Linked DNA regions of Coturnix japonica. The main gene of each other region encodes a partner of the protein of the gene in region 4 in a complex. Links are inferred from orthologs where the notes say so. Each region holds a gene or a part of one and is shown on either strand. Other genes may lie near its edges.

What was found.
Region 1: the proteins of INTS2 (region 4) and INTS7 are in contact, whole or in part, in a cryo-EM structure (PDB 8RC4), measured with the Homo sapiens proteins. The link is inferred for Coturnix japonica from reciprocal best matches to the Homo sapiens genes INTS2 and INTS7. Residues at the interface, in NP_065799.2 of Homo sapiens: Gln27, Lys28, Val29, Cys48, Arg51, Met52, Cys55, Ala56, Ala58, Asp59, Gln60, Ser61, Trp64, Phe92, His93, Ala186, Glu187, Pro189, Ile194, Val218, Asp220, Ser221, Asn223, Glu224, Ser259, Leu262, Lys263, Arg265, His285, Gly294; in NP_056249.1 of Homo sapiens: Leu38, Gly39, Glu40, Cys42, Glu43, Val46, Arg47, Asn77, Phe78, Leu81, Cys82, Leu84, Lys85, Gln88, Gln89, Asn114, Asp115, Pro116, Val117, Ala120, Ile121, Arg124, Val153, Glu156, Val159, Phe160, Ala163, Leu195, Lys196, Pro199.
Region 2: INTS2 (region 4) and INTS9 share a complex: the UniProt entries of both Homo sapiens proteins name them as parts of the integrator complex. The link is inferred for Coturnix japonica from reciprocal best matches to the Homo sapiens genes INTS2 and INTS9.
Region 3: the proteins of INTS2 (region 4) and INTS6 are in contact, whole or in part, in a cryo-EM structure (PDB 8RBZ), measured with the Homo sapiens proteins. The link is inferred for Coturnix japonica from reciprocal best matches to the Homo sapiens genes INTS2 and INTS6. Residues at the interface, in NP_065799.2 of Homo sapiens: Ile855, Asp856, Pro857, Leu858, His895, Arg923, Glu925, Leu926, Lys927, Ala929, Leu930, Ala932, Ala933, Gln934, Ser936, Ala937, Gln940, Ile941, Glu944, Asn1010, Lys1013, Leu1014, Phe1017, Gln1018, Gly1019, Tyr1020, Pro1021, Ile1046, Ala1047, Gln1048; in NP_036273.1 of Homo sapiens: Ile484, Val486, Arg487, Ser488, Arg489, Phe527, Gln528, Val529, Ala530, Leu531, Leu532, Asn533, Phe541, Arg542, Asn543, Ala544, Tyr545, Ile547, Arg549, Leu552, Leu553, Leu556, Met559, Arg560, Asn562, Leu563, Leu564, Lys565.
Region 5: INTS2 (region 4) and INTS12 share a complex: the UniProt entries of both Homo sapiens proteins name them as parts of the integrator complex. The link is inferred for Coturnix japonica from reciprocal best matches to the Homo sapiens genes INTS2 and INTS12.

The regions. Positions count from the first base shown.
Region 1 is NC_029518.1:19,450,435-19,456,857, forward strand, and holds the start of INTS7 (integrator complex subunit 7), read left to right. Parts: upstream 1-2,339; 5' UTR 2,340-2,387; coding exon 2,388-2,478; intron 2,479-2,571; coding exon 2,572-2,701; intron 2,702-3,777; coding exon 3,778-3,924; intron 3,925-5,111; coding exon 5,112-5,249; intron 5,250-5,613; coding exon 5,614-5,660; intron 5,661-5,818; coding exon 5,819-6,018; intron 6,019-6,423. Other genes in the region: DTL (denticleless protein homolog), read right to left, coding at 301-421, 513-574, 902-1,000, 1,819-1,944, 2,087-2,144. UniProt on the Homo sapiens protein: Component of the integrator complex, a multiprotein complex that terminates RNA polymerase II (Pol II) transcription in the promoter-proximal region of genes.
Region 2 is NC_029518.1:96,766,836-96,772,677, forward strand, and holds part of INTS9 (integrator complex subunit 9), read right to left. Parts: intron 3,953-5,842; coding exon 3,828-3,952; intron 2,544-3,827; coding exon 2,376-2,543; intron 1,617-2,375; coding exon of another isoform or gene 1,476-1,616; exon of another isoform or gene 963-1,475; intron 1-962. UniProt on the Homo sapiens protein: Component of the integrator complex, a multiprotein complex that terminates RNA polymerase II (Pol II) transcription in the promoter-proximal region of genes.
Region 3 is NC_029516.1:152,146,168-152,152,009, forward strand, and holds part of INTS6 (integrator complex subunit 6), read right to left. Parts: intron 4,569-5,842; coding exon 4,416-4,568; intron 4,276-4,415; coding exon 4,143-4,275; intron 3,663-4,142; coding exon 3,568-3,662; intron 3,164-3,567; coding exon 3,053-3,163; intron 1,452-3,052; coding exon 1,236-1,451; intron 1,128-1,235; coding exon 1,001-1,127; intron 1-1,000. UniProt on the Homo sapiens protein: Component of the integrator complex, a multiprotein complex that terminates RNA polymerase II (Pol II) transcription in the promoter-proximal region of genes.
Region 4 is NC_029534.1:6,232,253-6,236,945, forward strand, and holds the end of INTS2 (integrator complex subunit 2), read left to right. Parts: intron 1-85; coding exon 86-193; intron 194-935; coding exon 936-1,041; intron 1,042-1,196; coding exon 1,197-1,373; intron 1,374-1,477; coding exon 1,478-1,647; 3' UTR 1,648-3,038; downstream 3,039-4,693. Other genes in the region: BRIP1 (Fanconi anemia group J protein), read left to right, coding at 4,367-4,459. UniProt on the Homo sapiens protein: Component of the integrator complex, a multiprotein complex that terminates RNA polymerase II (Pol II) transcription in the promoter-proximal region of genes.
Region 5 is NC_029519.1:34,242,997-34,249,404, forward strand, and holds the start of INTS12 (integrator complex subunit 12), read left to right. Parts: upstream 1-2,084; 5' UTR 2,085-2,169; coding exon 2,170-2,296; intron 2,297-3,593; exon of another isoform or gene 3,594-3,710; intron 3,711-4,707; exon of another isoform or gene 4,708-4,812; intron 4,813-6,408. UniProt on the Homo sapiens protein: Component of the integrator complex, a multiprotein complex that terminates RNA polymerase II (Pol II) transcription in the promoter-proximal region of genes.

The DNA.
Region 1 (6,423 bases), on a different chromosome or scaffold from region 4:
TATGGTCTTTCCTTAGTGCTACTGTAGGAAAAAGTGCTTACAAAGAGTATTTCCAGATTTATGTTTGTAAGTGAGGACTGAGTGACTTCAATGCCATGTCTTAAAACTGCCTGAGATCAGAGACACGCAGACAGTATCAGATCACTGCAAGGTTCCAACACTACTTAGGTCACTGCTCAGCCCACCTGTACTTTGTGCAACCAACAGATTCCAAAGCCCTTTTTTAGCCCCGTAAGAATAGAAGTGGTAATTGGAGAGAAGAAGGGGGAAAAAAAGACAAGAAGAAATGCCAACATTTACCTTTCTCAAACCTCGAAAAAGCAACTGACTTGAGGCTACACTGGTGACCTTTGCATATGCCAAGCAGCTCCCCAGCTCTCACATCCCACACCTTGGCTGTCTGATCTCCTGAAGCAGTGACCTTCAGAGGATAGAATAAAAAGCTTTCATCATATTCTGCACGCCATTGCCAAAACATTAAGAATAAACTTAGATAGGAAAAGGCTTCTTACAATCCTGTGCTCTCCTGGTACCCAGGCAAGATCAAAGACAGCATTTGAGTGAGCCTGCCATTCTGACAAGAGAACAAAAGCCAAAATTAGTTCAGTGCATATGTCCAGTACAGCATGACAGTATTTTGCAGGAGGCTAACAAACATCAGACATCAGAATCCGAAAACAGGTTGCTCCTTTGTAGCTTCCCTCAGGCAAGGCAAACACTCAACCATTCAACTCCCATTGCTTTTGTAAGAGCACACTCACACGGCTGCTTTGTAAACAGGACTCTGCAAAGTATATAAAAAGATGCAAGTACTTCCCAGATTGAGTTTAAACAGCCTGCATAAAGCTTTCCTTGATTCCAGCGCATCCCATACTTCAAATGAAGATCACTGAACACTTACCCTTAAAGATCACTTTGGTGGTATTCTGAGCTTCAGTATCATACAGTCTGACAAACCCTTCTTCATTTGCAACTGCCAATATGTGCTCAAAATTTGGGGCTGAAAAGAAAATTGAAACGTAATCATCTATTACAAGGCTGATCCACAATTGTGCCTCTTCCCTTTGTGAGGGGAGTACAGGCACTTTAAGTGGGGTGCACACCTAATGGACAGCTAGAAAAAATAAAGTAACATTTACACAGTGATCTCCATTCTCAAAATGCACAAATATTGCCAAGCATTTATTTCTAGACATTCCGTTCTTAAACTGTAGTATATAGGAAATAGAGCGGGTCAAGGAGCAGCTTCTAAGACAATGCCCTCTTTCACCAGCACTGATGGAAGTTCCTTTCCTCTATCTTTATGACCTGTCCGTCCACTTGGATGTTTCCCAAGTGCTTTCCTTGGAAGTGAGATGGAGGAGCAGCCTTGGAGAAAGGCCTTTAGGGTCTGATTGCTGGATGGTCCTGCACGGAGCCAGGACTTAGACTCGATGATTCTTATGGGTCTTTTGCAATTTGGGACAGGTCAGCGATTCTGTAATAACCCCATGGCACAACCAGAGTACCACACAACAGCGCTCTGCCCTAAAGGTCTCCAAGACCTGCCCAGGGGCCCCGGGCAACCTGATCTAGTAAAGGTGTATGTTTGGTGGCCCTGCCAGGCAGGGGGGTTGGAACTACATGATCCTTGAGGTCCCTTCCAACCCGGGTCATTCTGTGATTCTGTGAAGACCCAACATGTAGGACGTGGAGGTGCACGTTCCCTGTTATCAGCACACGCTAACACTGAAGCTTGCCAAAAGATCTTGAAACATTCAACAGAAACGAGTTTACAGCGGGACCCACACACCGCGGCATCCCAGGATGCGGCCGTACCTGAAGAAAAGCTGCATCCGAAGGGAGGGACCGGCATTCCGATTTCTCCGTAGGAGAGGTGATCATCTTCCCTACTGCACCTATAGCCATCCAAGAGATGCTGCAGTGGAAGCGGTGAGGACTGACCTGAAACGAGACAAGCGGACCGTGACTGCACCGGCCACCGCGATCTGGGAAGCGAAGGGCCCGTGGGCCGCACACCCCGCTCCCAACTGCCGTGCGGGCTCCCTGTACGGCAGCCCCCGGTGCCCGTAAGCTCGGTACTCACGGTACTCGCGGTACTCACGGTGCCCGGCGGCACGGCGGAGCAGCGCGCGGCACAGCATGGCCGAGAGCGCGCGGAACGCCACCAAACTCCCGCCACCGACCGACCCGCCAAACGCACCTCCACTCCCTCATTGGACAACCCGTGGCGCGCCGCGCCGCCCTCTCTCCGCTCGGATTGGTCAGCGGAGGAGAGGCGGGGCGGGAACGGCTGTTGGCGCGCGTAGAGGAGTGCGCGTGCGCCGCAGGGTCGGTGTGGCGGGAGGGTGGCCGCGCATGCGCGCTGGGCGGCAGCGGGGTTCGCGATGGCGGCGGCGGGGAAGTCGTTCCTGGCGGACGCGGGGTACGGAGAGCAGGAGCTGGACGCCAACTCCGCCCTCATGGAGCTGGACAAGGGTGAGGAGCGGGATGGGGGAGCGCGGGGATGGGGTGTCGAGAGAGGCCCGGTTGGTGCCGCTGTAGCAGTGAGCGTTGTGGTGCTCTGTGCAGGCCTGCGGTCCGGTAAGCTCGGCGAGCAGTGCGAGGCCGTGGTGCGCTTCCCGCGGCTCTTCCAGAAGTATCCATTCCCCATCCTCATCAACTCCGCCTTCCTGAAGCTGGCCGACGTGTTCAGGGTCGGGTGAGTACCGTGCTTTAGTTCCGCTAGAGGCAGTTCTGTGTAGGTGCCTTCGGAATCGTAACAAATAAATGAATGGCCCAATTCTGCAAGTCCCATCTGTGAGGAAAGTGAATGCCTCAAGTTGAGCTTTTCCGTGTGCCCTGTGCCGAACCGAGCCGGGTCTGCTGTGCAGCTGCTCTCAGTAGCACACAGACAGTGAGCCAGCAGTGCGCTCTGGCAGCCCGGAAAGCAAATGGGATCCTGGGCTCCATCAGGAGAGGGGTGGTCAGCAGGGATAGGGAGGTGATTGTCCCTCTCTACTCGGCTCTTGTGAGGCCCCATCTGTTGTACTGTGTCCAGGTGTGGAGCCCTCAGTACAAAAAAGACATGGAGATTTTGGAAAGGGTCCAGAGGAGAGCCACGAAGATGATCAGGGGGCTGGAGCACCTCCCCTATGAGGACAGGCTGAGGGAGTTGGGTTTGTTCAGCCTGGAGAAGAGAAGGTTGCAGCCTTTCAATACCTGAAGGGAACTTACTCCCAGGAGGGGAGTAAGCTCTTCGAAAGGGCTGACAATAGCAGGACTAGGGGAAATGGTTTTAAGTTAAAAGATGGAAGATTTAGGTTGGATGTTAGGGAGAAGTTCTTCACTAGGAGAGTGGTTAGGTCCTGGAACAGGCTGCCCAGGGAGGTTGTGGATGCCCCGTCCTTGGAGGTGTTCAAGGCCAGGTTGGATGGGGCCCTGGGCAACCTGATCTAGTAAAGGTGTATGTTTGGTGGCCCTGCCAGGCAGGGGGTTGGAACTACATGATCCTTGAGGTCCCTTCCAACCCGGGTCATTCTGTGATTCTGTGATTTGTTGGACCCACATTCATTGTATGTTATTTGTGCTGTGAGGCAGTAAGAAATTTGTCACTTGTGCTACATATAGCAGTGCGTTCATATTCTATCCTTAACTGGTAGCCTGCTTGAGCCATTTCTAAAGCACAGAGCTTCTTTGTTGTGATTAAATATGTTTTTCGTAATGCATTTAGTTTAGAAGTTTTTGAATCTGTATTATCAAACAGCTCAGTAAAGATAAACGTGTGTCTTCTGATAGGAACAACTTCCTGAGGCTGTGTGTGCTGAAAGTTACGCAGCAGAGCGAGAAGCACCTGGAGAAGATCCTCAACGTGGATGAGTTTGTGAAGAGAGTTTTCTCAGTGATTCATAGCAATGATCCTGTTGCTCGGGCTATCACGCTTCGGTAAGTAGCACAGAAGTGAACCTAACTTACTTCAAAGCTGTAGCTCTTTTATTGGTGTGCTAATCTGTTCTAACAAAATCAGCTACTTCTCAGAGTGTAGGAGCTGTCTTCCACATTCATCATAAAGGCAAAAGCGGGGACATCTCATAGGGAGTGAGCAGGAGATGTGTAAGTGGAAGAACAAGGTTTTTGCATGCTTGTATTTGTGATGTGAGAGTTGTGCAGATGGCTCCAGGTGAGATGGGAATCCAGTGGGTAGAAAAAACCACACTTCAAGATATCTTTAATGTTGCTGTCCTGCTGCTTTGGTCTCTGTATCTCTAACAGTACCCAGCATTATAATCTTTTCTTCATCTTCCTTCAACTCCTGTGTGACTGAATTAAAATGTGAACAGAGCACTCCTTCTCCCTTGCTTATTCATTTCTCCTATCTATTCAGAACTGTTTCTGTTCTCACTGTTGAAAGATGAGAGTCATTAACAGAGGTTTGGTTTATTATCTCACACACCCATTTCTTTTTATATTTTTGAGATTATGGTTTTATGCTTTAGGATCTCAAAAAAACAAATGATGAGAGACTGATGTTTGTTTGCTTCATTATAGTCACTCTCTAGAATTTTCCCTTTCTTAGTATGTAGTTAATTTTGACTTCTCAGACATGTATTGATTCAATTTGAAGATTTAATGGGAAGAATAGAAAAGGTAGAAACAACTTTGTAAATGCTATTTTAATTCTCCTAAACTACCAAAATGACTGACTTTTAAATCGCATGATATATATTGATATATATTTGTGTATGCGTGCAGTAATGCATTTTAGCATTAAATCTGTTGCGCTGATATCAGAGCTTGGGCACAAAAGTGTCTTTAAAAATGGTGTACCCCATGCCATGGTGTGCTCCTCACTTTATAACAATTGTTTTCCACTAATGATACTCCAATATGGTTACTTTTTTGTTGTTTGTTTTCATTAAATGACTAACAGAAGGCTGATACCAGCATAATCATGTTTTAGCAATATGCCTGCTGTCAGTGTGTCTTTGTTTCTGTAGTGAATGTAAAAGAGCCCTCATTTATATAAAAGCCAAGACTTTAAGCCAGTCCTTCTGTGCTTCCCTTTGATTTCATCTTGCATTACTTCATAGTCAGTCATTGTGCTTGCTCCTTTTCCTGATCTGTGTCTGTAGGATGTTGGGCAGCATGGCGTCTATCATTCCAGAAAGGAAGAATGCACATCACAGTATTCGCCAGAGTTTGGATTCCCATGATAATGTGGAAGTTGAAGCTGCTATTTTTGCTGCTGCCAACTTTTCTGCACAGTCAAAGTAAGGTGGAATTTTTTTCTCCCCCGTTTTTCACATTGCAAAGAATAACAGCTCCACTGTTGCTTACTGAACTTAGTATTTTCTTCAGTGGTGGTAGAACATCCTTCACAGCTGTTATATGTCATGATAATAAGTGTAAGGAAGTCTGAATTCGAGTCTAAAAAAACCTATGAAACTTATTTGAAAGCTTCCATTTTATTATTTGATTATGCACCTGTGTAGGGATTCTAAAATAACTAAGTTTTGGCAAGCATTCTTGTGGTGGTTTTTATTATTAAAATTCATTGTTTGGTTCTTCTGTTGATTTTTTTTTTTTAGCCTGTTTGCTTTCATTTCACTTGGTGCTTTGTCTTTTTCTCTACAGGGACTTTGCTGCAGGAATATGTAACAAAATCAGTGAGATGATTCAAGGTATGTACAAATACTGAGTGATGATATCCAGGGCTTCTTTTTTATACATAAGTATATAAAATACCTCTATACCATTGCCCTTACCCCAAATAATGTGTGTCTTAGTACCAGAAAAAGCCAGTACAATAGCCTGACAGTGTCTCTGTTCCCTGTTACAGGTTTAGCCACACCTGTGGACTTGAAATTGAAGTTGATCCCTATTCTACAGCACATGCATCATGATGCTAGCCTGGCCTCCAGCTCCCGGCAGCTGCTTCAGCAGTTGGTAACATCATATCCTTCCACCAAGATGGTCATTGTTACTCTGCACACGTTCACTCTGCTTGCTGCTTCTTCTTTGGTTGACATTCCTAAACAGGTAATTCTTCTTTCAAATGAATCTACAAAGCATGTTTAAAACAAAACAGGGATTATTGAGGATAAACTGTGATCTTTATCTTGAAAGACTGAGTCTATTGCTACAGCTTATGTTTTTAAACCAAGTCGTGAGAAAGCATTGATGAGCAAAATATAATGCTTTTATGTTTAGATAATGGGCTTTGTGATTATGATTCATATAGCAAGTATGAATGCACAGTGACATTTGAGGTTCAACTAATTATAGTAAAGTCATAAAAATCTATTGACCTTTTAATCCATACATTTGTGGCAGGCTGGTGTCTATTTGACTTACTGCATTGATTTGTTTAAAACTTCTTGGGATGGCTGACTTTCAGGAATAGTACTGAATTTGAGCTAGCTGAGACAACATTCAAGCACTTCA
Region 2 (5,842 bases), on a different chromosome or scaffold from region 4:
TATTAACTTGAAAATCACCAATCCTTTAGGACTGACTGCTGCATAGAATAGGAGAGATTATGTAGTTAAACTTCCCAGCAGTTTTCAGCTATGCTGCTGAGATTGAGACCAAAATGAGAAAGGGTGGGAGACAACATGCCAACCCTCCTCTGCCTTATCACCTCACTGCAGGTCAAGCTGGAAGCAAAAATCAGCCTCAAACAGGGCTGTCATGAACACCTGCTGAAAAAAAGATTGTTCAGGTACAGTCTGTGATCACCACAAATTCGGCATGACTGCTCCTCTAACAAGTTCCCTTGGAAAGAATGACCAAGATCTCTTTTTGAGGATGATCTGCATACCTCAGTGCTAGGGAATGGTATCCTATCAGCAGCCCTGAATCACTGTCTTGCACTCATCACAAACATTCTAACTCTCAAAGAACACCCCAAGAGAAGGAAGTACTTCCCTTCCCTTCCACTGTGCCCCAGTGTGGCAAGACAACAGCCTTCTGATCTATTTTTGTATCATCTTAACCTTTTCAGGAGAGCCATTATACACCAAGCAGCTTGTTGCACTGAGTTGAAAAGACCAGCTTTGGAACCCAGGGAGAATACCTGGATGTGGAAAATCACAAGAGATGTTTCCACTCCCTGAGTGGACAGATAGCTTTGAAACTAGGACTCCTGCATGAATGTATATTTGACAGAGGAGAAAAGAGGCAGTTTCTGTCAATATTCTTACATATGTATCTTTCTGCTTGAACACTCTGAGTTAAAGTGAATGCAGTAGAAACTGCTTTGCTTTTCTGCAGGCTTTCTGATAACCATTCCCAACTTGGTGAATACCACACTGTCTACCATGCACCCTCCCTCCGATATCCCAGCAGTTTTGGGAAATGCTATTATTTCCATGTGCCATTTTTACTACAGTCTGTAGAAAGAATCCTTTCACTTCAGAGAGATGGCATATAACAGCCAATGGAGATCTGGAGTTGAGAAATTGAAGGCATGTTCTTACTGGTGCCAAATCCACAAAGCCTGCTAAGCCTCAAGTGCAAGGGATCTTGCTGCAAACAGCCAGCCCAGCAAAAGAACCACTGACTCATTTTCTGATGCACTTTAGCCCCATGAGCATAGCAGTGCCTTTGGACTAATAAACTCTGCCCAGAAACTCTGCAGTACTCAGTGCCTTTGTGCTCACCCTTTCCACTTTCAGTTGCATTTTATATTTAGACTTGTGCAAATCATCAAGGAGGTCTCCAACAGAGCACAAAAGCCATGCACAAGCCTAGCTATGATTGAGACAACCCTCTCCTCTATTAAGAATATCACAATGCATGAGAGTTGGCAAATACTCATTTGTAGCATATGTGCAGATTTGCATTCTGTTTGCAAGAGAAGCTGGTATCCATCCTCTTCACAGGGCTGACAAGGGATAGGCTCACATACAAAGCCTCACTCACAACCTCAGAGTTTAAGGAAAAAACCATGGCTTCAGAGGAAGCAAACCAGCAGGTAGGCTGCATGCTGGCTCTCTGATGAAAAGCACGCTTGTATATTCAATATCCAGAGGGCAGTAACACCTTCTTGGTAAATGCCACTGTCAGCTTTGATCCAAGGACGCCTTTGTGCTGACTGCATTGTTAAAAAAATATATTTAATATCATATCTGCTAGAATATGGATCACTCTTTGTATTACGAGCACATTTGTATAAAATGTATGGGCTTAATAAATTATTAATGAATGGTGCAGCCATAAACAGTCCACATTATAGATGGCTACAAGCAACTCATTACCTGTCGGACTTCAGGAGTCCATAGGAATTAACCATTTATTGAAATTGTTCTAACACAAATGAGCCGTTTTACTGCAGTGTCTTTAACATTCCGCTGAATACTGCTCCTGAAGGGAAAGGGTATTTCTCATAGCAGGTACAGCTGGGGAAGGAGAGAGACAAGTCCTGGCTAATAACTTCCAATCTCTCTCAATCCCTTCCATAGCTCTGTACTACTATTTCAAACTGCAGTGCCTCTGCATATTCACATTTAAGGTGGCACTGACTGGTTTTCTTCACAGCTGGCCAGCAGAGATTACTCTTTCTTCTGCAGATTACTCTTTCTTCTGCAAGGACATGATGTGTCCTTGCAGAGGACAATTAACCTGAAGACACCTTTTACTTGCCCATCACATTCCTCTTTTCTCCAATTCTTGATTTACAGAATGAAATTCCCTTCAAAAATGCTTTCTTAACACTCTATTTGACAAAAACTGATGTGTGTTCATAATCAACAGCAAGTCACAGATGCAGGATATGTCTAGTCAAATTGGCTACTGCAATGCTGCTCGAAGTATGAGCAGAAGCCACATCTTTTCCCCACCTTTTGTTACTTACTTCTGGCATGATTTCGATCTTCTCGTAGCGTCGCTTATAGGGAAGAGTCAGGACCTCAGCTCTGCGGTAGGACATTGGTGGAGGCTGACAGTCTATCATCAAATCTGTCCGGTGAGACTGGGAGGGTGGTGGCTGAGTGTACTGCTCCGGGCAAACTACATGGAGAGGCTGGAAAAGAGGACTATGATGACTTACAGAAATGCCTGGTTGATTCTGCACACTGCCCTACATTGGTAATGGTTGCCATAAGGAGGTCTGTGGATTGACGTTAGCACGCTAACTTAACTGTATGAAAACAACATCAAAAAGATGAAATCCAGAAGATTCAATCAGGATTGAAACCGACTGTCCAAGGAACAAGCAGTATTTGCTTTGTATACAGACGATGCCCACAGTAACAAGGCCTAAATTTATATCTGTAATCACTACATCAATATCAGCAGTCATGTTAGCTGCCATAAGGAGAGAAATAAATCAAAATGCTCAATAGCATTCTCATCCAAACGCTTGTCATCTAAATTGGAAGCAAATACAGCAGTGGTGCAGACCATCACAAAATGGCACTGAGGCAAACGTGTCAAAACACAAGACTGCAAAAACATTAGCAAAATAGGCAACTCTGAGTTTTCACGACCTGTCAGCAATGCATTAACAAAGCATAAACAAGCTGATTACCACGGGGATCGCCACAGGATTTAAGGAAGCCACAGGATATGACAGAGTTTCTGCCAGATGCTTTGGAAACAGCATATTTCAGTAGTTACATGGAGGAAGAAAAACAGGCAATGTAATTTCCACCAGTTGTGCAGTGACAAGCCAGGTCACAGAATGAGCAGATAAGATGATCCAGACATTGTTAAGAGGTTTGGAAGAACATGCATTTCTGCATATGATGAGCTGAAGACAAATCCAAGGGAAAAGCTCAGCCAGAAAAAAATATGGGGTGTTAATTTAATGCTGCCACGAGTCAGAAACCAAATTTCAGTAGAAATAAATAGGATGGATAAGGAGAAGCCACAAAGAAAAAAAGAAAAGCCTGAAAGCTCAGCCTTTCTTCCTAGACAAAAAAGGAAAGACTGTGCAAATGGAACGAGGAAAGCTGTCAACTTGCAAGTAATATGTGAGTGGGACTCCAAAGCAGTGACGCCAGAATCAAGGCAAGGATCAAGTGCAGGATTCAGTTACAGGCGTGGGGGAGATGGTTAAAGCTGAGGGCACAGAGGATGATCTACACTTGGTACATCTTACATTAAGACTGTATCAGACACAGAGACACTAATTTAAACAAGCAGGGGAAAGAATAACAGGAAAGTGTCATTCTGTGTCTCTCTTACAGAGAAAGAATGTGTGTGTTATCTTATTTTGCCATTATTTAATATAAGTCACAATCAACTTATTTATTTCAGACAAATGTGTGAAGAAACACAAGAAAAGGCAACAAGAATTCATTACCTGGACTTCTTTGAGCAATTTAGACACCTGAATAAAATTCAGTCTTGTGTCAATGGGGCAGTAAACACATTTCATGGCCAAGGGCTGATAAGGAGCCAGAGCATCCAGATAGGAGAAATCTGGTTCTGAAAAGAGAAATGTTGAAAATACAGAATGCTACTGAGAATAAAGGTGGTCCAGCTCCTCTCTCATTCCACATTCCAGTCTAGACAAGCGATCTTATAGTAAAGTTAATTCTGCTATAGATTTCTTTTCCCTCCTTCCTTCCCCCACCTGGTATTTTCAGTTAATCTGATGAAAATTAACCCCTCAATTAGACTTACCTTAATCAAGCTACAGAGCAATACTATTTCATCTGAACACATTACTGCATGACTTTTATAACAAATTTAATCAAGGCAAAACCATTATCTCTTATTTTTAATCAGATCTTGTAAAAGAAGGCAAGATGTCCAGGTTTTGGTATCACAAATGTCAGCTTGTTTTTCACTGTGGCAGGGTGCACAGTGCACAGGAACCAGAGGGGCTGTGCACTTGGGGATCTTCCAAAGCCCCTGGTCATGGTGCTGGGCACCCTGCTCTGTGTAGCCTGGTTGGGGCAGGGTGGCAATGAGAGAAGGGCTGACCAAATTTGTCATGCAGACAGCAAAAAATAACGACCTTAACATTTTACTGATGGAAGTAGAGCTTCCATCATGGTATTCAACACTCCGTGCTGGAGCTCATTGGACTGGTAAAGCTAATTGCTAGCCTAAAAATCTGATACATCTAAGTATCAGTCATTGGTCATGATGTGGTTATCTTGTGAGAACAGAAAATAATATCAGCTAATGATACACACGTTAGGAACTGTCAAGGGGGCAATTTAACTGAGTCTAAAGCAAGTGTCAGTGTAGCTGCCTGGGAATATCTAAGTGAGAAATATTAACAAAAAATGATACTTGTATAAGAATATCTTGTTGGATGCTTCAAAAGTCATGAATTGCCAAACATGAAACAAAACTCACACTGGGCAAGAAGCCATGCTAGTTAAAAGCACATGTGCCAGTGCCATTGAATCAAAGCCCAGAAACAGTAATGCAAAAAGAGGCAATAAATAGCAATGAATAATTAGAATACTGAGCGAGTAGCTAGTTGAAGAATGATCAGTAGTCAAATAGGATCAAACCAGAGGACATTTTAAAACATGTTGGGGTAAAAAACTAAGAAAACTTAAGTAAACCACTCTGCTAGAGCTGCACAACGAAACTGCACAACAGTAAATTAAAAAGCTATTAGAAGAGAACTTTTCCATCCCATCTGGCCGTGTGGATGACACAGATCTGACTGTTTGTTTCTGAAAATGTCAGGAGGATGCAACTACTCAAACTACGTATTTTTGAATCAATAGGTTCATATAATTTACACACACATATATACATGTGCATACATATATATACATATACATTACATATACACACACACACATATATATGTAATCTACACATGTATTTCTTGCTCTAAGTATCCAAAATGGCACCAAATCTACAGCAACTAATGAGGACATAAGTAGGCACAGAAAAGTGAAAAATTCCAATACCCAAATCCTAAGGTTGAAATTGTAAGTCTAAGACAGGGCTTCCAACATTTAAAACACGTGAAAATATAACTGAAGCTAGTCTTAACATGAACTTGTGATATAATGCAATTGCTGCTTTGAAGATTCAAAAAAAACCCAGAATTCAACGGCACGATGAAAGACAGTACTCGTCAAGGACTCATTTTCTGAGAGTTACAGGTCTTTAGCTTTTTCCCTAAGACATCTGATTTACAACTGTGTGACACAGTTATAAAATCTTCCACTGTACAGCACGAATGTGGCATGCGTGAGCTGTTTTAAGATCTCCTAGGGAGTTAGTTTTTAACACACTGATGTTATTAGAGTGAGGGCAAGAAGTGGACTATTTCTACTGTGCTTTCTTCTAGAGCTTCTTTGTGGCTCAGTGGAATTCAATATGTTCAATCAATAATCTATT
Region 3 (5,842 bases), on a different chromosome or scaffold from region 4:
ATGGAAAAAGCAATAGCTGTCATGCATGGATTTAGTTTTCCAGAGTGTCCCATAGCTTTTCAACAGGTAGATGGGTGGGGGAAAAAAACAAGACTTGCAATAAATTTTATTCTAAAACATTACTACAAACAAAATCTACAGTAATGCAACGTAGTAATGCCATGCTGCATATAGCTTTGATAGACATCTACCCAATTTGGGGTACATCAAATGTAATTGTTGAGACTGGCACATTCTTGAAGCAACAGTAAATTTTTTTGCCACTGGAATCAGAATTTTCAAATCTACAGGACCTGAAAACTTAAACTTGCTAAACGTTTTCTCAAGCAGAATATAAGCTACCAAAAACAGCAGGGAAAACAATTGTAAGTTTTGATGTGTTTTAACCCCTTTGTCAAACAGCAACTTCTTTGTATTTCAAATGATTTTCTGTCACTACTTAAGTCAGATTAATATCTGTGACCAAATGACAATGCAAAATACACTTTTACTTGCATTATCCATTTTCTCCACTTTTTTCATCACCTCTGTTTGTTAGATGCCCTAACATAGTGTCAGAAAACACAACTTAAAGTGAAAATGAAACAATCATACAACTGCTGTTGACCTACAGGGCAAAAAAATCACACTGACAGCACCTAGTGAGTAAGCTCATCTTTCCACTATTCACAAAACACTTCTTACATGGAAAAAGGTCTTAATGTTCAAAAATCCCCTCAAATTTTCTTAGATACATCATGAAAGCTGGTGAAAAAAATAAGCGAACAAAATCTGTAAGTAAAAGTCCAAATCTCCTCAGACTAAAGGACAGAGTGGTGAATCTATATCCTTTCTGTCCCCAATTGCTTTTCTTCCAATTAGCTAAGGAACAAAGTCAAGTTTAATGGCAGATGGCTGCTAAGCTTTTATGAATAAATATTTGTTGAGTCTTCAAAATTTAATAAAAGTGATATCATGTAAAGGCAAAAAAAAATAAAAAATAAAAAAAAGCTCAACCAACCTTCATCTTGTCCTTTGAGGAACTTCCGAGTACTCTTCAGTAAATTAGATCTCATTCGTGTTAATTGATCCAAAAGATTTCTTCTAGGTATATCATAAGCATTTCTAAAAGTTTGAGGTTTCAAGTCCTATGGTTTCAGTAATTAAAGTTTCAATTAACACAACGTATGAAACAATATCTAGCATTTCAATGGTAGTATATTGAAAATAACAACATTACACACAGTGGTGCTTACCTTATTCAGCAAAGCTATTTGGAACCCAGCATACTCCTTCATATTGAAGTCTAGAGGTCTATGAGGAATTTCCCCAGTAATCCCCTGTAGCAGATGTTGAAAATCGTTCCTATGTGCCATAGACAGGTTGTGTGATCTGCTTCTGACCTTAATTCCAGTCTCTTGCGCTACCTTTTTGCCTACAGAGCCAATGACTCTATCGGACTCTATTTTGGCCTTAATTTAAAATAAATAAATAAATAAAATTGACAATATGCTCTTAAAAGAATTAGTCACTTATTCATTTTAAATTCCTACCTAGAAGATTCAACAATGTGCTAATACACTATGACGACCATAACCAGGATGAGTGCTTAAGGAGTGCTTAGTACATAACCACTTAATGTCTACTACAATTTCAAATATAGTGAACATTTTGTGCCTATGTTTTCTGCATATTTCTCCCTCTGCTGCCCATTACTAAGCACCAAGATGCATGCAATGCTTTTATTTTCATAAGTCATAATTTAACTGGCAATTCTCTATCTGTCCTCAAACTGTTTTCTGCTGCAAGAGCTAAATGCAAGCTTTCAAGACTGATTCTCCCACAACTATAGTTGTGATCAGTCATACAATGGCATCAGCTTCCTAAAAGCTCAACAGACAGTCACAACATTAAACAAAAATAGGAAACACATGAAAATACCTAATCCTATTTGATCAGACAGACCTCACCCCCAGCATTGTTAGATTTGTACCAAAATCAAACATGTTCATAAATGCCAACTTTTGGGCAGAATGCAGTTGAACAAAGAGCTAGAAGTAATTTGCCAAGACAATTTGCCAATGTTTGCTTTGCAGTTTTATACCCTAAATTTACAGACTAATCAGAATCTGAATTTGTACTTAAGAACACTGTGTCTGTGCTGCTAAAATCTTTCAGAAGTGAGAAAAGCTTTATGTACCAATTTGCAGTCTGTCATTGCATCTTAGGCATCTACAAAGCCTACATTGAGAGATTAGTTCATTTAGTAGAACACTGAGCAACGTGACCATGATTTGCTAAGATATACTCTAGAATTCAAATTTGCTCCCCTGTCAAATAATTGGCTTATATCTTTTTTTTTTTTTAAATAAAAGTTGTTCTATAAGAACTTGATAGCTATGTAAGAAGTACTTGCACTACTATTAAAGTTTCAAGCCTACTGTGTGCTCTCATGATCTTGAGCAGGAAAGCTTAACATGCACAGCTCAACAAAATAAAAGTGAAAGCAGCAGGGCAGAAATGCCTTAACTGGTGCAGGGGACTAGACAAGATACATGCACTATTCTGAACAGCATGACCAACTTCATCACTTTACAGAAGGTCACTTGCAACTTTAGTCTGTATGCTTAATTCAGAATCTCTAATACGTCAGTTCAGTTTTTATTTACTGAACACTTTCCACTTCAAAAGTCACTTTCTGATTCAGATACATCTAAGTACAAATCCCTGTTTTCTGAAAAAAAAATAAAAAATGCTGCAACAGCTTTGACTTAAGATAACATGTTTTCTTTTGGACAAAAATATGCTACTATAACTGTACATGTAAAAATGTTCCTTAAATATAAGAGATCTTAATAGGTACCTCCATATCTATCTATACAGTCCACTCTAAAGTTTATGCTTAAATGTTTTCTTTCACTTCACAGAACCAAAATACTTCCTTATTAATTGCTTATAGAAAGGCATTAACTTGATCTTCCTGCTCTTTTTCCTTGAAAACCCTTGAACTTGAGTATTTTAAGATATTATCCTGATATTACAAGTTTTTACTGCTCTTGTGCTTCAACATTACCTGCTGACTCAACTTTTTGAGATATGAAATGACACTGTAACTAAGTCCATATTCCACATTGTCAGCTATAAGGTTTGGTGCTCCCATCATTCTCACAGCTTTCTTCAAAGGCTGAAACATGGAATATATTGCACAGTCACATTTAACTTTACAAGGGTTATATATATACTTTAAGTAACTGTAACCATTTCAAAGAGGACCTGAAGTCTTTAAGGACAAATGTCAGATTTTTCAGGGCAGATTTTTTTTGTTGTTATTTATAAGTGTTATTCCACTCACACTGAATCAGTCACAAACAGAAATTAGTTACAATTGTTGAATTTTGTTGCTATATTCAAATTTCAAGCCTTCTCACAGGACTACAGTGGAAAGAGTATTACTATATATAAAAGTTCAGTTATTTTCTTAAAAATACATATTCTACTTGAAATAGAATAGAAAAAAGAAGCACCCACACTGGAAAGGTGACTATAGCTGCTTAATAAAATAGAAAATTGAAAATCAAGTCATCTTACCCCAAGATAGTAAGGAGGCATTGTCTTCAAATAGCTTTCAAATGACTGTAGCCATTTTAACGTTGGCTTTGCCTTGTGTACTTTGAACAAGTCATCTGATGGTTATGAAAAACAGAGACACAATAAAAGACATGCCTACGATTTTTTTCCTAATAGAACAAATGCTAAGAAAATACTAAATCCTTAATGCTTAAATATATTATTTTAACATATATACAACTAAACTAAATATACACAAAAGATTAAAGTTGCAGCCAAAAGATGGAACCTGACCAGTTATCAATTTGATAAATGAGATGACAAATTGAGAATAATGGCTACCGAAATAAAAGAAGTGAGATTACTGCATATCCAAAAGAATAATGATTACAAAAATTATTCTTGCACTTTGGGCACAAGTCATGAAAATCATGCAATTGTTTACAAGAGAAATAAACATTGCCATTGATATAATTGCTAAACATTCTATCTTTCTATGGCTGTGACTAATACTGTCACCAGCTGGATAAAACTCTTCAGATCAAATCAATTTTTCAGTTGCTTATTACTTGAAGATTTCATGGACTGGTATTTACCTAGCAGTGGAAGAAGAACTGGATAATTATAAGGCATCACAAATAAATTCACACAATTCAGGGCTGTACTAGCTTTCAAGTAACCAAAAGGATGACCAAGTTCACTGTATTTTGCACTATTGCTCACATACACCTGCAATGAAACACATTAAAAGTTAAGCATATTTTTACATATTTTGTGAATTTAAAGTTTTACATCCTAATTTGATTCTAGAATAAATTACATGACAAATAGCTTTAGAGAGACTTCAATTAAGTACGTATTCTACTTGCCTGCCAGCAGGTCTGAGGAGATTTTCTTTCCAGGATAAACTGGGTCAGTGGTGAAGGCTCTAACTCATATTTGTCAAAAGGCAGTTTGTCAATGACCATCGGCTCACAGTCAGTGCAGGAGAATTTCACCACAGGATGAGAAGTGCGGGGTGGCTAAACATAAGCATTCCACTGTTAATAAGTCTGCATACAGTAACTTCTTTGTACTATGATAAATAAAATAATAGATTCTTTGAAAACAAACATTTAAGGAGTCTACTGAATACAGAATTCATACTTTCCTAAGCACATAATTTGACACTGACACTATTGTGAAATCGGATGGAAATTGATTTTCTAAATACTGCTCATTTTACCTACTAAGTCTACAACAGTAAAATTTCTTACGTATACACAAAAACACTACCAATGGAAGTAAAGCCCTGTGTGGACTTTAGTGCTACTTTGGGGCATGCCCACTTTGACCTGGCAGAACTAAACTTTGTACTTTCATATTTGTTGACTTGCTCTCTTTAACAGCATGTCTCCTTCTGGGCAAATTTTATATTTAAAAATCTCAAACAGAATTACAGTGACTCATATAAGAAAAGTCTACAGCAACTCACATTTCAACTGCAATTGTGAAAACTTTCAGTTTGGGCAATTTAACTGTAATCTTTTTATTAATTACATGGAAAACACCTTTCAATCTCAAGTTTCAGATATGAGTTGATAATGTTTGACATTTCTTTTGCTGAATAAGGAGGTGGCAAACGTGAAAAAAGTTGGAACCATATGCCTTACTTTGAAGGACCTTCAGGAGAGGAACTAAAGCTTTTATACTTACCTATAACCTCCTCCAAGGCTACTAGAATCTGAGGAAGATCACACCTGGGAAGTCTCCTTCCATTTAGTCCCTTTACAAGAAGTCAACTAATAAATACGTAAGATGAGCTATGGAAATACATGGTTTCTTGGACCTTCCTACCACCTCACCTTGAAAGTAATTTTTCCTACAAGTTTATAAACTTTAGTCTCTTCCTTTTAGGATGAGCCAGCCAAATGTTATCTGTCCACAGAGCTGGTCTTGCCTTGAGTATCTCCACTCTGAGGAAGGTGTACTGTCCAAGTGCACACAAAACAGGAGGCCCACTCAATTGAAGGAACTGCAATTCTCTTGAAAGAAGATGCCTCCAATAAATAGTTGTGGCGGAGTTTCTGACCAAGCCATGAAGCAGTTATACTAAGAATAAAAAGGCTGCAAAAGAAGTTGAATGCTAAGACTTGAGTAGTCCAATAAGTTCTGACTGGACAGCAAAACTATTTTTTACCTCAGAGCAGTGAGAGCAGCCATTAACACGTTGATGTATCAACAGAATCATAAGCAGAATTTCACATACATTTAAGAATGCCTTGATTGTACCATCTACATTACATGAAACAGTTTT
Region 4 (4,693 bases):
AAATGGTGTATTTGTTTAGAAAAAAGCATTGAAGCAATTTTGAAAACATCTTTGTTATGGCTGCTTTCTTTCCTTACTCCGCCAGGGTTATCCATGTGAACTGCTGGCACTGACAGTGGCAGGGATTCCATCGATGCACATCTGTCTGGATTTCATACCTGAGCTCATTGCCCAGCCTGAACTTGAAAAACAGGTACTGTGCAGTCAGCTAGTCAGGGAATCACTGTACGTAGTTAACCACAATGTAGTATTGGTTAGGGGGAGAGAAGAAAAAGATCACTTGCTCTAACCTGCCCAGTATATTAACATAGTATCTGTAGCATATTTACCTTAAATTAAAGGCCCTGCCACCAAATCTGGGTGGTCTTATGATGGTTGTGAAAAAAAAACAGCAAAAAATTGTTGATTAGTTGTTCCTAAAGCAATGATAGATGTTTATTTGGTGTAGTGTGACATGGGTAGATTAGATATTTGTCTAGTCGTAGGTAGCTGGATATTTGGGAGCTAAAGATTCCACTGTTTTCTGTGTTAAACAAATTTCTTGTTTGCTTTTATTTAATCCCTTTTAAATACTGCTCATGAGATGGCGTTCAGCTGAAGTTTAAGCTAGAACACATGGGATATTTAACAGCTTTTACAAGGATTACATTGTAAATTGTTTGTTCCTTTGTTGCTTGTTGAGATGTTGGAACAAATTGTGTCTATGAGGGAGATTCTGAAAGCCAAACTGATGCCTGGCTAATGTTAAACATCTGTGTTGTGCTTTTTTTAATGTCAGCAGAAAAATTTTGCAATAACTATTCTTAAGGCTTCTCTTATTGTGAAATAGAGAATATTTACTAACTCCTAAGTTATGTGAAGAGCTTAGGATCATAATTGCAAAGCAATGTATAACTCGCTGTTTATTTCTTGTTTGCCTTTCACCTACTTAACAGATATTTGCCATCCAGTTACTCTCGTTCTTGTGCATTCAATATGCTCTACCGAAATCTCTCAGCGTGGCTCGTTTGGCCATCAATGTGATGGGGACCCTACTCACAGGTGAGCTGTTCTGCAACACCTGAAGTTAGATTTGTCAATTACGGTTGTACCAAAATACAAACAAGTTAATTATAACTGTAAAGGTGGCAAAACAATTCTTGACTAGATTTTGGTAATAGTTCCTTTTTACTTAACTATTTCCTTTTCCTCCATAGTTTTAACCCAGTCGAAGCGCTATGCCTTTTTCATGCCAACCCTGCCTTGTTTGGTGTCATTCTGTCAAGCCTTCCCTCCTTTGTATGAGGATATTATGTCTCTGCTGATACAAATAGGGCAAGTTTGTGCCTCTGATGTTGCTACGCAGACAAGAGACTTTGACCCAATAATTACACGTAAGTAAGACAGCTTGTATTTCACAAGTAATTTCATGGTGTTATAGATGTAATATAACTATTTATTTACATGTACTTTGTTTTTCTAACTTAATTCTTTTTAGGTCTCCAGCAACTAAAGGAGAGACCAAATGAAGTGTCGGGACTTTGTAAAGATTCGCCTTACAAAAGTTGTTCAAGGGACATTACAAGCGTGGACCCCGATGTTCAGTTATGCCAGTGTGTTGAGAGTACTATAATTGAAATAATTAACATGAGTGTAAGTGGAGTTTAGGAAGAATGCAAATGAAATGGTACTGTAGGTAGTCCCATGGCCTATGGTAACTGGATTTGGAGAGCGCAGCCAAAGTGGATTGAAGCACAAGTCTGTGTTTTCCATTCATCGAATTCAGTTATGGCTGAACCTTGTTGGATACTTCAGAGGGACTTATTCTGCTTGGTAAATCATTTCTAGTGAGAGTAGGCATGATTTTTCGGGTGTGCTTTGTTTCTGATTTGATACAGCAACACACCCACAATGGGTTTTGTAACACTGTGAGGTGAGGACTTCTTTTGTTGAGCAAAATGATGGGTAAGAAAAGTTTGATATCGGAGAGCTTTACTAGAACTGGAATGAACTACTGTTTCAGAGCCTTGTAGAGCAAGATGGAATAAAACCTTCCAAGGAACACTTGAAAAGTGATGTAAATTGCACCATCATGTTGATTACTAAGAAGAAACTTTAACCATTTTATTTGCCTTTTGAATCATTGGTCAGAGTGTGAATTAGTCACAGGACTGGGTTGAACTTGGCTGACAATTTGGGATCAGTAGCTTCAAAATGGATTAACTGAAAGATCAGCCGGCCTACATGGAAGGTTTGAAACCAGCCTTGATGTTTCTTAAACAGACAAACTACATGAAAACCCAAGCAAAAACCTCCTAGTGTAGTAGTCCAAACTGAACTGCAGCACAGATTATTCAGTATCTTTAAATCTCAGTTTAAAAGAGATGAGAATGTTGTTACGATTAAATGTTCAGATAACTGAAGTCATCGTAGGGATGAGATTAAATGAGCGTTGGAGGTGACTGTGACAGAAGTCACAGCAGTGAGATGGCTGACAGATTTCAGCCAGCCCACAGCAGTCACAGCTCAGAGAAGGGGAAGGAAGATCTATGTGTGTCTATGAGCTTTCATTGACGGCTGTGGGATCTTTTGGCCTTGATGGATGTATTGTAGCATTGCAGAGGAGCTTTATGGGGCAATTTACTTCAAGGTTGCACAAGCTTTGGTGTGAAGCAGCAAAGAGAGAGATATTATTGACCAGAACTGGATGTTCTTGACTTGCTAAGCTTGGCAGCCTATCTTTAAGGAATTATTGACAACATCCAGCATCTCTCATTAAGTAAAATACTGCTTTTTAAGCTAAAATCAGCTCATATTGCAGCAATAACGCTCTGATTGTTACTGTGGCAGCTCCTCCATCGCTGCCTTTGATCTCTGCTGGGTGTTAATGGAGGGTTATGCTGTATTATATATGTATATATGTGTTAATGGGAGGTTAATGCTGAGCTCCCACCGCCATTCCAGGCTCGTTTTGTGTGTGTAACCGTGTGGTAACACACCCATACTGAGTGTATTTTTTCTTATCATGTAATGTATGTAAATATATATTTTTTTCCTTATGATGTTGGGTTTTCTATGCGGTATTTAAATAAAGAATTTTAGAAAGAAAAAGCGGGTGATGGGGAGCAGTTCGGAGCTGCGCCGATTACTGAGGTGAATTTGGGGTTAGTCGGGGCGCTGTGTGGGGAGCCGCGTTGCGTAGCGACGAGTACAACGCGGAAGCCAGCAAGATCCTCCACGATTGGCTCTAAGGGTGAAACGGGGGCTTGTTTAGTATACGGCTTGCTGATTGGTGGCTCCCCGTCCTTTCCTGTCAGCTGATTGGCGGGCGGTGCCGAGGCCGCGCGGGAGGCGGGAAGGTCGGACGCTGACGGAGCAGTCGCCTCAGGTGAGCGGCAGCGCGGAGCCGCTCGTCGCTGTGTGCGGGGCCCTGAAGGGTTAGGGCTTTTTTCCCAGTATCTTTTAATTCAAAGCCTCAGCAGGACAAGGGGAAATGGATCTAAGTTGAAAAAGGGAAGATTTAGATTGGATGTTAGGAGGAAGTTCTTCACTAGGAGAGTGGTTAGGCCCTGGAACAGGCTGCCCAGGGAGGTTGTGGATGCCCCGTCCTTGGAGGTGTTCAAGGCCAGGTTGGACGGGGCCATGGGCAACCTGATGTAGTAAAGGTGTATGTTTGGTGGCCCTGCCAGGCAGGGGGTTGGAACTACATGATCCTTGAGGTCCCTTCCAACCCGGGTCATTCTGTGATTCTAAGATTCTATGAAGCAGGCTTTCCTTTATCATTCTGAGTAAGGGAAATTCAAGGTAACACGAGCAGAACAGCAAAATCAGTGGCAGCCCATTTACCCCTGGGTAACCATTAATGTAAAGATGGTATTGGTTTAAAACATCTTTTTAACATCAGAGCCCAGTTAGTGCTACCACTGCTTTCTTATAGCTATGAAACAAGCACTGCAGGCTTAACACTGTCACTGTAGTTAACATGTTGAAGTTCAAGCTAATGGGCTTCAATCTCCTAAAATACCTCTGCCTTCCTTCCCATGAGACTTGGGTTGTTATCTCAGAAATCCTCAGTTTGAGAAACGGACTCTAAAATGATGTGTGCATTTAATTCACAGTGCTTTTCTTCCTTTTTGTGCCCGTGTCTTTTATTTGTACTGCTCCTATTACTTATCAGATGGCGGTTCATTGTAACAAGTAAGCCAGAACAGAAGACACAAAGTCTAAGTTCCTGTATGTCAGTTTTGCTCGTGTCCAGAGCTTTCACCCCTTTTCCTGCTTGGTTTTGTTTGCTGTCATTTGTTTTAAGCTTTCCTTATTAGTAACATTGTCTTGATTCTGTCTTTTACTGCAGTTATAAGCCAGAAATAAACAGGGAAAAGCAGCAATGTCTTCTGATGTGTCTCAATATACAATTGGGGGAGTGAAGATTATGTTCCCTTGCAAGGCTTATCCGTCGCAGCTTGCTATGATGAATGCTGTAAGTACAATTTGTATGACCGTCTGCTGAGCAAATAGCTTATAGCTTTCAGTACCCATCAGCTTGTAGAAAAGTAATATATTTAAGATGCTGGAGGCTCTGAATTGAGAATTACACTCATAACAGACCTTACTGGGTTTTGTGCTGTGCAATGATACCTGGCCCCATGTATGGAATGTTGAAGTGCACTTTTGGATCTATCAACATTAATGCTAAGAAGTAAATTCCTAATGT
Region 5 (6,408 bases), on a different chromosome or scaffold from region 4:
ACAGCCTTGTGACATTGGCAGAGAAGGAGAATATGCACGGAGCCCTCTTACCTTAACCCATAATGTTATTTACTTCTGCTGAGGCTGTCTCCTTTACAGTCACTAAGGAACTTGCATCTAAATTCCAGAGAAGTCCAAATAAAGATGTTAAATTGTACATCCTTATGGTGTTATTTTTTTAAGCTTTGCCCATGGATGTTATGAGGGTTAAGATTTACTTGTCACTTTGCTCAGATTTGCTCTTCCCTCTCCTTCTAACACTCACATCTAAATCTCCACTGCATTTTACCCACTTGAAAACAGCGGCTTTTGAATATTACAGTGCTGAAGCACTGAGAATTGTACTTTTCTAAGGAGGGGGGTATTCCCTCTCAAAACAAGATAGGAATGTATAATGATTAAACTCTCTTTGCACTAATGCAAACTCTCCTAAGACTGCACCTGGAAGAGGTTTGAAGTTGATCAGTACAGTGAGAAATAAGGAAGCAACAGCAGTAAGAGCTTCCTTGGGCAACTTTCTATTCTGTGTCAGCACGAGGTTTCCTGAAAGAGATGGAAACAGCGTGTAAAGTGATCCTCACTGATGTAATGAGTACTTTGTACTTACTGTATCATCATCACAGTCAAATCCTACCTATTCACCAGCTTAAGTGTACAGAAGAGCCGCAGACATTTCATTCATACTATTAAACACAGAGAATCACTCAACTTATCCTGTCATATTACTGTGTTTCTTTTTCTAACTTAGAAGATGAGCTGCCTCCAGAAAGAAATGCCAGGATTTTTTTTGCCCCTGTTTAGTCCTGAGCATATACCATGGGGATTTTATCACTTATTCTATTCCCAGACTCACAGCTGGACTCGCAAACATTTTATCAGCCTGATTTGTTTTTCCTTCCACTTTGCCAGATCAGTCCTAGGTATAAATGACAATAGCCACCCTCTTCTTCCATCTATCCATTCCTTAAAGCCCCATTTAACTTGCTGCTTTTTCTCCAGCTACACAATATACTTTTTTTTTTTTTCCACATAAGATATTTCAGATGGCCAAAAAGTAGCAATTAAGTTAACTTTGTTCACAGCTATGTAATTTCAAAAGCCAAATGGCAACCTGAATAAGTCAAGTCTAGACTTGGTTTCACCACAACCGCAGAGCTCGCAACACATGGAGTAAACACATAAGAAATACTAATCTCTTACTAGACATCACAAACCTCTTTGTCACAAAAAGATCATTCACTGACTACTCCAAACACTTATCTAGGAAATTGTCTTCTCCATTCTCAGACAGACAGTGAACAAATGACACACCACCTGCTTCTGAAATCCAGTCAGTGCAGCAAGATTTGGCTCAACTGTATTAATATTAGCCTCCCACAGGACATAAAGCAAAATAAAGCTATCTGGGACCAGTCTATAGATGACTTGTGTTTCCTTAAATTATTTCTTGTGAGAATATACTCATGGCCTTCTCTCACTTCAGAGAGCTGTACTCTCACACTGCCACATCACACTCCTCTTCCATATTTTGCTTTAAAAATTTCCTCCTGACAGCTTGTTTCCTTCCACAGAGATATTCAAGACCTGTCTGGACACCAATCTGTGCAGTTTATTGTAGGGAACCTACTTAGCAGAGGGTTGGACTTGATGGTCTCTTGAGGTCTCCTCCAAACGCTGCTGTTCTGTGATAATAAAGAATGGAACTAACAAAAACATTGTGCACCCATTTAATCACAACACCTTTCCTGGCACTCGTCCTTCTCTGCTTAGCCTGCATTCTGTGAGGGTTTCTATCCTACACTGGCCTTATTAATAGTAACCACTGCTAAAAGAAGGGAAGGGAGAAATCAGCTGAACATAAATAATGAACACCACAGGTTTTGCAACATCACTTAAAGATAAATAACACGGTTTGCCTTCGGTGTGAGCCCGTGTGAGGAAGCAGCACCGAGGGGCGAACCCCCAAGGCCGCCGATCCCGCGCTCTCCCTCACACACCTCCCGCCCCGCCCACCGCCGCGCGGGCCGATAAACAGCGCCCGGTCTCCACCAGCGCTGATCGATCGAGATCCATTTCTCCCTCCCTCGGTCGCTCCTCACCACTTACCCGACCCCGCGCACGATACGTCCCGGCCGCTTCCTCCCCGGCTCCGCCTCTTACCGTGTGCCCATGCGCGTCCCGCCCGGCTCCGCCCCAGCCGCGCAGCGCTCCGCCCTCCCGCCCGCGGAGCGAGCCGGAACGGGGGCTGTGTACCGGCTGAGGGCTCTGAGCGGCGGGTATTACCGTCTCTCCTCAGGTGAGAGCGTGGCGGGAGCTTCGGGGGGTGTCGCGGTGTCGTCCCCGGCCCTGAGGGTGGGCGTTGTGGGCGCCTGTGTGTCCTCCCACGGCGGAGCTGGAAGCGGCCGTACCCGCTGTCTGAGTGGGGCCGGCGGGTGGCCCCGGTGTGAGTTAATATGTGGTACAACGGGAACAGGGCTCAGTTAAACAGGCAGCTGTGGTGTGAGGAGGAGGTGGGCTGGGGGTGAGGTGAGGGGGAGGAAAGATAAAAGGATAATAGTTACAACTATAAGTACGTATATAAGACTGTGTGTGTATATATATATGTATGTAAAAAAACAAGCAATGCACAAACAAATTGCTCACCACGTACCAATCGATGCTGTGCTAGTTTCCAAGCAGCAGCAGCAAGCCTGAAGAACTCCCACCTTTTTCAAACTTGCCTGCTGTGGAATATCCATTTGGGTCATTTGAGGTCGGCTGTTCTGGTTCTGTCCCCTTCCAGCTCCCTCTAAAGCTAAAACATAGCATCATATCAGGTACTGTGAAGGAAAATAACTGTTTCCACTGATTCTAAGACAATTAGTTTCCCTCAGAGCTCATCAGTGAGCCCTCTGTTTCTGCAACAAGGAGAAGATGCAGAAGAGGGCTGAAGCATGGGTTGATTGCCTGGTAATCCATTGACCTGGATGGACTGTGTTCTGGTGTACCATTGTGAAGCCCCTTGCTTTTGTCTATGAGAAGTCATGAGGCTGGGAGAAATCACTGGGGGCTAGAAAAAGGCAGACTACATGTCTTACATATCCCTCCTCAAAAGAGGCAGGAAGGACTATCCAGGGAAGTGCAGACTGGTTAGCCTCCCTCCTTGCATCCATGGGAAGGTTATGAAGGGAGCCAGCACAGCATGGGCAGGAGCACGTGTTGACTGGGGATAACCAGCTTGGGAATCTACCAAGGGTCAGTCATGTCTGGTCAACTGGATTATCCTTTATGGCAAAATAACTAGCTCTGAAGTTGAGGGGAGGAGTGGAGAATATCATCTGAGGAGGGTCTTGCTGTGTCCTAAATAGACGCCTTTCTGTATCTAACAGGAGATTATTGATAAAATGAAGCCTGTATTTCCTTTTATGTGAAAGCACAATCTGAAAAGGGAGGATCCAATTTGGAATAAAGAAGTGAAAGGAGACAGTGAGATCCCTGTCTGTGTATGTTTTGAAGGTCCATCTGGATGGTGTCCTCGGAAATCTTGTCTGAATTCATAGCTGATTTTTTTCTTTTTGCTTTGAGCAGGAGGTCTCTTAGAAACAAAATGCCAGTGTATTGTGGTGTAATGCAGCAGGCAGCTCAGCACCACGTAGCCACTTGTTTGCTCTCTGCATGTTGGATGGGGGAGAAAATAAGAAACTTAGAAGTATGAGAACTTCTCTTTTATGGTTAGTATGGTTTACTCGGTAAAGCAAAATCTGCATGTGCAAACAACAAGAAATTCCTTTGCTACTTCCCATTGGCAGGCAGATCACAGAATCACAGAATGGCCTGGGTTGGAAGGGACCTCAAGGATCATGTAGTTCCAACCCCCCTGCCTGGCAGGGCCACCAAACATACACATTTACTAGATCAGGTTGTCCAGGGCCATCCAACCTGGCCTTGAACACCTGCAGGGACAGGGGCATCCACAGCCTTCCTGGGCAGCAGATGTTCAGTCACTTCCAGGAAAGCAGAGGTCATCACACATAACAGTTTCTTGGGAAGGCAAACTCCATCTCTCAGAATGTCATCTGCTCTTCCTCTTCTTGTCTCCCAGTTTTCATTGCTGAGCAGGATACCATATGGTACGAGCCATCCCTCTGGCTGGTCTGGGCCAGCAGTCCTGGTTCTGTCCCCTCACAGCTCCCTGTACTCCTCCAGCCCCCTCCAGGCAGGGCAGCATCAGGAGCTGAGATGTCCTCAGCTCTGCACAGCACTGCTCATCAACAGCTAAAGCATCACTTGTCAGTACTATTTCCATTTTGAAAATAATCAAAAACACAGGACGTGGTGAGTCACCGTGAAGAAAATTAACTATATCCCAGCCAAAACCATGGTATTCTGGTTGTTGGATACTATGTTGTTTATGAGTGATAGAAAGCAGAAAATAGAAGGTGATAGGGTAATGTAGAAATGTTAGATAAGCAAGTTACTGTGATAGATTGAATTATTGATTGGAAATTATGGTATAAAATATGTTGTAGGATAGAATATAAAGTTATGGATAGTCACGTTAGTAATTATAATGGAAGAATTTACTCAGGTCTCCTGGAATTCTTTGAATTTCACATCAAGTTGTCACATAAATAAGAACTGATGAATACAGTTGTTCTGATTAATACAGTTGTCGGGACTGCTAAAGTGCCTGAGTTTTGAAATATTCCTCACAGGCGATAACTGTGAAATTGTTGTCATGAATCAAATCCTCAGTATGATACGAAAGTAAAAACTGAAAATAGAAGCTTTTCCTGCTTTCCTTGATCTGTTTCATCAAGACCTGCATTAAATGTGAGTCATCTGGAATGGGCAGTATTGGTAAATACTTGAAATCTTCCACTGTCACAGTTGTTAGGGAATGGAGGTTCTAAAGGACAAAAATAAGTCCCTCTCTTCATGTATTTATTTTCTTTCTGTTAATGGTTGCTGTAGTCTGTGACATTATTACAATTTACCTGTGAGAACAGAAAGAACTGCCGCAATTTCACATGCAAGCGAAAGAACAAACATACAGAAAGCTGCTAAATGTGTCTGAATCTAACAATTACTTTATCGTAGTTGCCTTTAAAAAGCTAGAGCTCATAATAAACTGGGGAAGTGTTATCTTCCTGAAGAGAGAAATGGATTGAGCAGGCTTACACTTGTTTTCTAAACTCTATAACCACGCTGAATTGTTTGCTAAAGACTGCTGAAGCTACCTATTCTTTTCATGCACTTGCATGTATTCCCAGAAGATTCCTCAGAAAAGAACTTAAAGGATTTCTGTTTGTTGTTCCTTTGTCTTTAAGAGGGAATTAAGAATTATTCCAAGTTCCTGTGACTAGTGTCTTGGCCCTACTGTTTTTTATATGATGGAGGGTGTAGCATTCTGCATTTAAGGTTACATTGCACTCAAGCTTGGAAGCCAAATTCACAGAACAAAGCAATGTTAACTTAACCAAAGAGCTCAAGGACAGCCAGAATTTTTAATGCAGATAAATGCATTTATTAAAAAAAAAAAAAAAAAAAAAAAGTGGATTTTCCACACACATTGAATTCACTTTCTGTAAATGTTAGAGGGAATTGTCTGGATGGGGCTCACTCTGAGGTAGTCTATGTGATCAGCAGTAAAACAGTTACTGATGTATAGTACTTTGTAGAACGAGTTCTGCGGCCACTGGATAAATCATTTGATTTAACAGGTGGATTAAGGAATAGGGAATGAGCTCTTGAAGAGGTTTCTTAACTCTCTGCTGGCTCCATTGATGAAATCCCTATGAAGCCTACAGTACGTTGAACTCCTTGATGATCTCAGTAGAGAGATTCTCTGGTGTCTCGTGAAAGCCCAGCATGAGATAAAGGCTCCTGGAGACTTCTAGGCAGGCATTGAGGGAGCAGGCTACTGCTGCTGCTGTGTTGGCCAGAGAGGTAAAAGTTCATTGCCTTGAATAACAGAAGAAATTCTTCAGACAAAACCCTGGAGGCTTCAGCCTATATATATATAGGGTTTTGTCTGAAGAATATATATATATTCTACAGACAAATATATATGAAGTATATATATATATGCGTGTGTGTGTGTGTACACACAGAGATATATATAAATATATATAAAATAATATATTTTTATATATATATAAATACTTTTATTTATATATATTTATACTTTTATATATATATTTTCTTACATTTGTTTGAAACTTTTTCAATTACAGTCTAGTTTATAAAAAACAATTACAAATAATTAAAAAAAAACTATCTCAGTTTAATACATTCAGATTTATCCATTTAAAACTTAGACATCTAGTATGCTTATCTCGTGGTTTTCAAAAGCCAAAGAAGAGAGAGAGAGAGAGAGACTTTTCTCACTATTTCAACTAAATTTAAAAATCAACAATGTACTTTTAT